Linked DNA regions of Danio rerio. The protein of the gene in region 2 purifies or fractionates together with the protein of the main gene of each other region. This does not show direct contact. Links are inferred from orthologs where the notes say so. Each region holds a gene or a part of one and is shown on either strand. Other genes may lie near its edges.

The links.
Region 1: the proteins of cul9 (region 2) and glmna purify together in Homo sapiens (affinity purification with mass spectrometry; 3 studies listed by BioGRID and IntAct, counting the BioPlex papers as one, with this or other methods). This does not show direct contact. The link is inferred for Danio rerio from reciprocal best matches to the Homo sapiens genes CUL9 and GLMN.

Annotation. Positions count from the first base shown.
Region 1 is NC_133177.1:11,244,350-11,248,974, forward strand, and holds the start of glmna (glomulin, FKBP associated protein a), read left to right. Parts: upstream 1-1,565; 5' UTR 1,566-1,837; coding exon 1,838-1,843; intron 1,844-2,038; exon of another isoform or gene 2,039-2,042; coding exon 2,043-2,102; intron 2,103-2,183; coding exon 2,184-2,309; intron 2,310-4,625. Other genes in the region: putative RNA polymerase II subunit B1 CTD phosphatase rpap2, read right to left, coding at 1,298-1,343, 1,432-1,486.
Region 2 is NC_133188.1:6,433,676-6,437,501, reverse strand, and holds part of cul9 (cullin-9), read right to left. Parts: intron 2,973-3,826; coding exon 2,801-2,972; intron 2,552-2,800; coding exon 2,406-2,551; intron 2,327-2,405; coding exon 2,197-2,326; intron 1,526-2,196; coding exon 1,323-1,525; intron 275-1,322; coding exon 1-274. UniProt on the Homo sapiens protein: Core component of a Cul9-RING ubiquitin-protein ligase complex composed of CUL9 and RBX1. The CUL9-RBX1 complex mediates ubiquitination and subsequent degradation of BIRC5 and is required to maintain microtubule dynamics and genome integrity.

The DNA.
Region 1 (4,625 bases), on a different chromosome or scaffold from region 2:
CACACAGCCTCACCCTGCCAACTTTTAACTTCTGGTCAATGCTACAAAGCACTATGCACCAGAACAGCCTGACACCGAAACAGTTTCTTCCCTCAAGCAATCTATCTTAGGAGCACTTAATGATAGTACTTGTGAAACGAACATCACTACTTGCTATACACTTTTTATACACATACAGTGCATCTGGAAACTATTCATAGCGCTTCACTTTTTCCACATTTTTTATGTTACAGCCTTATTCCAAAATGTTCTTGCCATAATAAATTATATATTTGTAGAGCAAGCCATTTTCTTTTGTCATTAATATTTTAACAAACTTTAGGTAAAAACCATTTATTGCAGATGAGTTGGAATACTATATCTCTTGATTGTGAAAATTGCAACCATCTGTTAAAAGTCATATTTTTCAACATTTTTGCAATTGAAATCTTCAATACTCAATATAAAATCATGATTTCTGAAAACTACAAAAGTTTCCAGTTTTAGTAATTTCCAAAAATCTTTTTTTTTTTTTTTTTTTTGCAATTGTACTCTTCAAAACACCATATCAACACGATATCTCAAAAATTAGGAAGTTTTGGAGTATTATTTAATATTTTTGTCTATTATGTTAAAGTTAGTAATTAACTATAAAGAGCACCTGCAGATCAGCTACTGGCATTTGAAACAGCCAATTATTTTTTGTAGGTATCGCCACTTTTTATGTTGTTTGTCTTATATTCTTGTCTGATTTTGACCTGCTCCTGCATTTACCCCAGCTATTTGTCTGTTACTTTCTTTATATGTGATGCAGAATTTTCATCCATACTCCAAGCATTGATCAACTCCAATATTTATAAATTTTCTAATCTAATCTAAAGCCATCATGTCATCAAGTAGACTTTTTACAAAGCATTTTAAAAATACAAGAAACTAAAGTATTTTGATACAAAATATTAAGCCTTTTTCATGAACCTAATCAAAGGCAAATTACAAAATACTATTGTATTTAAAATACGTATTTGAAATACATGCATCACAAATACTTCCCATCCCCGATTGTAATAACTAACGTATAATAACTTAAGCCAGTAACTGTTATGCCAATGTACTATACATTTTATATTACATATTTATATTTACATATCTATATTTTATATTACTCACAAACCCTTAACGTTTCATAAGCGATTAAAACTACAGTAAACTAACTAGTCAGGCTTTCTAAAGCCAGATTCAAAGTTAGTCCAGATATCTTTAATCTAGATGTAATTACTACTCAAAATCAAGTGCAAGTGCAAGTGAAGTTAATGCACACCTTTTCGCTTCATCCTCTGCTGAAATAGCTTGGGTTCCCTTTCCACCTAAAATTCAGATTAAACGTACAAACATTTTGTTAAAATTCAAACATATAAATGAAAAAGTCCATGTAACTTTATATATATACCACACCTTTCTTCTTGGACTTTGAGGGCCGACTCTTTCTTGTCACTTCACCGGCATCCATGCTTGTTTTATCAAAACAAAACTCCTTCCGCTTACATCGGAGCACTACGGCAAGCCGTGTGTGACACGCTTCATCCAGCACAATCCGCTTCAGTTTCTAAACATGCGACGCTGCTTGAAGTATAGAACCTGAGTAAGCGCGCTCCTTCAATTTCTATGTCGTTAAGTAGACCTATATAATATTCACAAAACAAAGCAGTAGCCTAGCTTAAACAAAACTACGCGAACGTTTAGTTCTCCTCTCTCTCAACGAACTCAAGTCCTTTAGAGCATTTTAACGTTAGCTATCTTGCTAATAACTAACCTACAAGAAGCAGTTTGACATCTCTTTGAGGACGAGTGAGGTCCATTTATGAATGTTTTGCTTTTATCATCTCGATATGTGTTATTCTGTGTGTGTGTGTTTAATGATGATTGAGTTGGACTGTGTGTGACAGTGAACTGCTTTTTATGAAGATGTCATGATTGATCGTGACGTCAGTGCGAGCTTGTCTTTGCACCATCACTGCTTTAGTATACTGCTAGAGTGACTGTAACATCACATTATCTTCATACAGAAGGCGTTTCGGAGCATCAGCATGGCTCTAGATCAGCTCAGTGATATGGTCCAGAGATGTGTAAGTGTCTTAATGTGTGCTCCAGTACACTCGCATTAAATCACCTGCAGTCATTTACGTGTGTATTCACTCTTTTTGCAGCAAACAGTCAAGGATGAAAGCTTCGCACCAGAAGATTACGATTTGTTCACTGCTGCTGGAAGTACTTGCATTGAGCAAGGTGACAGTGCTCAGGTTCTCAGCATCCTAGTGGACGAGAAGAACCAGGTGAACTTTATACAGTAGCATCTAACCCAAACTCTACTTTGTGAATTATCTATGTACTGTAGAAGATGCATTAAAGGAACAGTTAACCAAAAATGTAAAATTACCCCATAATTGACTCGCTTTCAAGCCATCCTTAATGTTTACTCTTCATTCAGATGAACAAGAGTAGTTTTAAAGGGGTGGTCCACTACGATATCATAATATAAACTTTAGTTAATGTGTAATGTAGCTATGTGAACATAAACAACATCCCTGAATGTTATACGCTCAAAGTTCAATGCAAAGCGAGACATTGCTTTTACAGAGTTAGCTTAGCAAAGCCTACAGGGGACAACAAAAAAATACATCCAGGTTAATGAGCTAAATGCTTCAGGTTACATGCATTTACATCATGCAGCGAAGGGGTGTGGCCAAAGGCGCTGTAATGTTATAGCAGAGAAAGCTAAAATGCCGTCCAAATTTCCTCAGAGCTTGTTCTGTTTCTGCATAAAGAGAATTGTTTACAATTTAACTTAAATATGTTCCAGAAAATTATAAAAAATAAATATAGCTAGCATTTAACAAAGGACAGCTTCTAGAATCTCTCTTAGTTCAGTGCTGGATTTGGCTAAAAACTCCTCAAAGGAGAAGCAGCTCCAACCTTTATAGACTAAGCTAAGGATTGTGAGCCACAACCTGTAAGTGTTTTTATTGGTTAAAATTGATCTAATACATGCACAGTGTCTACCGTTAATGGTATGTTGTAGCAAGGATGTAAACAAGGATGAAAACAACAGGAAATGCTGTTTGGCACCACTAACAATGTAGCTACAAATTTATATTTGTCCGTCAAACTGCTGTAAACAGCCACAATCTTCAGCAGCGCCGCAGTGTCTCTTTATTCAGCCACTTTCCCTGCGTTTTTCATCTCAAATAATGAACTCACAAAAGATATGTGAATGTTTCATATTACTTACACATGCTTATTCCGAATATATGTAAAGGACACTTGTCAGATTTTATTTTAGAGAGCAGGCGTGAGGTTTAGCTGTGTCCTGTTCATTTTCTGTCTGATTCAGGCTGAAACTTACATGGCTAACAGCTACTCTGACTGACAGTATTTATACAGCCGAGGCACAACATGTGCTTGTAAAGGCGTGACACTTTTCCTAGTGATGTGGAGCTGATCTGCGAATAACAGCACATTATTTTAAGTGACCAATCAGAGCCTCTTGAGAGCAGGACTTTTAGAGGAACTAGGAAATATGAGTCGTTTTTTATGTTAGCTGAGTAGCTGTATAAAATCAAAGTTGAATTCTTTTTTTTTTAACAAATGAAGCATGAGCACACATTGCTTTGCATCATATAAACACAACCAAGCCTTAATTACACTTTGGACCACCCCTTTAAATTTACCATGGCTCTTCCATGCTGTATAATGGTGCTGGGAAATGTCACTTTTTTTGAAGCTTTCACAAATCTGTCTAAAACTAACCTATTTACCACCAGGGGGTCAACGCATGTCTTAAGAAGTAGATGAGTGTGTTTTTGTAACAAAAATATTTAGCGATGAGCTGAAATGAAAATTCTGGATGCACTTGGCCGAAAACCAAAACCCAAAATGCTTAAAGTAATTTTGTAAAGCTTTTTAATTTTAACTCAATAACCTATTATATAAATTAGATTAATTATATTACATATATATATAAATAATATTATATAAATTAATGATAATTATAGGGATGCACAATATTGAAATATTTTATTAAATATTTAATATGAGTTTAAAATAATATTTATTTAGTAGTTAGCACTGTCGCCTCAGCAAAAATGTTGCTGGTTCGAGTCCCGGCTGGGCCAGATGGCATTTCTGTGTAGAGTTTGTGTTTTCTCTCCGTGTTTGTCTGGTTTTTCAGTCCAAAGACATGCGGGATAGGTGAATTGTGTAAAATAAAATGGCCACAGTCTTTGAGTGTGTATGTGTGTGAATGAGAGAGTGTATAAAAAATGTGCCAGATTAGTTGGCGGTTCATTCTGCTGTGATAAATAAGGGACTAAGCCAAATGATAGGATGAGTGAGTGAGTGATATTATAATGTTCATATAGGCCCCGTCTACACTAATCCGTTTTAGTTTTAAAATGCATACGTTTTCCTACAGTTATGCCTACAGTCCACACTACCCCAAAGTTTTCCAGCCCTGAAAACGGAGCGTTTTAAAAAATGCTGAAGAGGCCATTTTGGGTTTAAAACGCTACTGCTCCGCGTTAGTGTGGATGGGGGGTAAATGGAGACATTTGAAAACAGAGGTGTGGCTGCAGACATCTGATTGGAGCTTT
Region 2 (3,826 bases):
TGTCTGCTTTGCTCCCGCTGCCGCCGCCGCTGCTGCTGCTGCTTGCGGAGCTTTTCTTTCCATCCATCTTGAAGGAGAACTGTGCCTGGCCCTTACGGGGAGTGGACGGGTCCTCCATCAAGAACTCCACGATGTGTGGGCTTTCATCATTACGGCGCAGGTAGCCTTTGTTGATGACATGCATGATGCAGGAGAGCACATCTGTAGTGCTGCAGCTGAAGCGAACCGAGGTGCGAGTCCGATTTGACTCCTGCTTCTGACACCGGTCCAACACCTGCAATGGCACAACGATATTATTAAAGGACCATGAAACTCCCCTGAAAGGTTTTTTTTATACCTCTACTTTAGAAAAAGTCAGGAAAGTGGGCGTGTCCAGCTCTGTTTAGAGGGGAGAGTCGGAGGAGGGAAAGAGAGATGGTCTGTTAAAATTTGCATAAAAATGGGAGTGTCGGTTTGGGCACGCACTGATTTTCACAGTCAAACAAACACAGAGACGCAGGGGAGAAAGACAGTGACTGTGTTTACATGGACATCGGTAATCAAATTATTTGCCAAATTATTAAATGGTGGACTTTAACTGCAGTTTGGCTCTTTTATTCAGGAATTTCATTCATGCCCCTAGTGACAAATGATCTCTCGATTCGAGGAATTGCTGTAAGCATGTATTTTTAATGCAATGTTGGATACCGCACGACGAATGAGAGAAAAAAAGTTGCACCGCATGCACAATAGAGCGCGCTGATTGGTTATAACCAAGTCTTACACATGAATGAATGCAGCACACTCAGAGACGTCACAAGGTACCCCCAGGTACAGACATCCAGTCTACACGCTGGAATACACGCTAAGATCTCATGGCCGTGACGCAGCTTCAAAAATTTGTTTCAAACTGGAAGTACGAATTAGTTTTGAAATAGTCTATTTCACTTTTCAGTGAAATAGATGTGTCCTAATAGTTATTAGCAGCATGGGACACGTATATGAAAAAATACAGCTCAAAAAATGTGTTCTGATGTTTCGTGCCTCTTTAAACATGAAAAAATAAAGGTGGTATACTTTTTAAAAATATTTTTTGGTGGAGTGGTGGGGGTGGGGGGTTGGTTATGGGTCGGGGGGGTTTAACCTTCGTTTTATAGGACAGTGGAGACAGGAGATCATGGGAAGCAGAAAGAGAGGGAAAGGATTGACAATGGACCTCCAGCCGGGAAACAAACTCTGGTCATCGTGAGCACTTCAGTGCTATGTGTCGATGTGCTCACCACTAGGCAATTGGCAATGACAGAATTAAACATTCTAAAAATTAAAACTAAAATATACTTTACCTGAAACACCAAATTGTCAATATGCATCTCCTTCTCATTCTTCATGATTTGCACAATGAGACAGTAGATGTAGTTCCTCTTCCTCTCGAGCGTGAGAGCAGCATCTTCATCTACATTCAGGTACGTCTGCTTGGGATGCAGGTAATGGTAACCGTGTCTGTCTGAGCTCTGCGAGAGGGTGTTTTTGTTCAATCTAAGGATGCCTGAAAAAGTTCAAAATCATTGAGTTTTGATTCATTAACACAAACGTGTTTTTTTGTTAATTAAGAATTTAAAGGTGCAGTAAGTGATTGTCTTTAGATATTTTTTTTTTTGTTGTGCTGGTTGAAAGTCTCTTCACATTCTAAAAGTAATGATTAAAGTAAATGATCTGAATGTGTTTATATGTATTTTTATACAGGGTGGGCCATTTATATAGATGCACCTTAATAAAATGGGAATGGTTGGTGATATTAACAATAATCTGAAGGGGGTAAACAATACTGACCAAAAATTATTACTATTTTTTTTTTTTAAACTGCTTTTGTTTCAGTCACAGTAAAAAATAAATAAATAATAAAAGCATCCTCTCCGAAAGAAAAAAAAACTGCACATATTTCACAGGAGCACTAATAATTTAAGTTATTATAAAAGTTGTGTAATAGAAGTTATAAATAAGTCAAAAAAAGTAATAAAACAAAATGTATATTTAAAACTTTTAACAGATATTGTTAAACAAACTTAAAATAATAAATCCCCCATAGCATCCTAGACAAGAAAAAAAATAGTCCAATCTGACTAATCATCATTTAAGAGTAATTACAAGATAAATATATATTGCAAAAACAATATATAAACATCATCTTATTTTGTTGTTATCGGTAGCTGCTTTCACCTTTGATTGGGTCCTGGCTGGACCCGGTGTGAGTGAGAAGCCCCTTCTCTGCAGTGAGAGGTTTGAGAGCGTGACTCAGCATGGCTGGAGAGAGTCCAGTGGCCTGCTGTAGCATCTCCACGCTGACATCCTGCAGAAAACAAACAACGTCAACAATTCTGAAGCCAGTCCATTTAGTCATGTCGTGTTTAAGTTTGTACTGAGAGTACCTCGTGCTGGTTGAACTGCAGCAGGATGAACATCTGCAGTGTGGAGACGTAAAGAGTGCAGGATCCATACTGAAGCTCTGCATGGCCGAGCCACGTCCACTGCAGCCGACGAGGCTTACTGTGGGTCAGGCTATACATGCGCTGGCCTGTGGGACAGACACACAGATGAACATTCAGGCTTAAAAGGGGTAGTTCACACAAAAATGAACGATAACTGCCATTATATAAATCACCAAGATTCATGGATTCATCTAGAAATGTTCATTAATATTCTATTAACATGATTTAATTTGTTAATCATTTTTGATTGAGCTGTACCTTTAATCACCAGATTAAATATATTTAACTAACTGTATGATGAGCATTGTTTACATATCTGTGGAAATTGAACTTACTGTTGGTGTAAAAGTCAGTGAACTCGGCCAGGTAATTGCAGAGCTGAGCAGGGAAATGTTTGCTGGGGTCCTGGAGGTAGCAGGGAGCAGACACAACCCAGCAGCGTGGAGACAACACCAACACTTTCACATCACTCTCCTCTTCGGGTTCAGGCACATCTTCATCCATCATCTGATCAAACACATGAGCAAAACTCATTTAACCCTTTCACTTGTCAATGACTAGATGCATCAGTAAGGAGACAATGTTTTAGATGCATTACAGTGAGAGTCTACACTAGCACATGTGCTGAATGAGGCACCAGACTTCTGGGTCTCCTGGGAGCGAAATATAAGACGGTCAGGGAAAGTGAAAGTCAAATCGCATGTAAAAATTAAGTAATCTATATTTTAATCTATAAAATTAAGTTTTATAGAGCTTTCCTTTGGCTTAGGCCAAATCCCAATTCTACCCCGTACCCCTACCCCTTGTTTTGCGCATTCACGCCAAGGGGTAGGGGTGTCCCAATTATCTTTAGCTTGAAGGCATAGGACTAAGGGGAAGGGGCGAATAGCCCTTTGAACAGAGATTTTTCAGGAACACACTCGAAACCAAGGGCTAAGAAAATTTCCCAGAATGCACCACCAACAGCGGCAGTATTGCTGAACCCAGAGGTAAGGAGATCCACAAATTAGTATTTTTTTGTCATTATTATGAATTTTTACAACAAACAAACACGTTTTAATACAGTCTTAACTGCGTTCGTGTTTACTGTCACGCTAAAATAAAAACCACTTAATTCCGCGATCTATAATCCCTAATCATAACTCCTGAATAGCAGTACCACAACATTCTGACACTCGATGACACTGAAATACCCTGTCAGTAATGTCTAGTGGCTGAGAAAGAGCTTTTTGCAGCATCTGCTATAATGTTAATGTTGTTTTTGGTGTGTTTACATTGATGAATATGGCCACTGTGTTAAATGCACAGTATTGCGATCGTATTGCTTTATTATATTATTATGATAACATAATATATGCCTT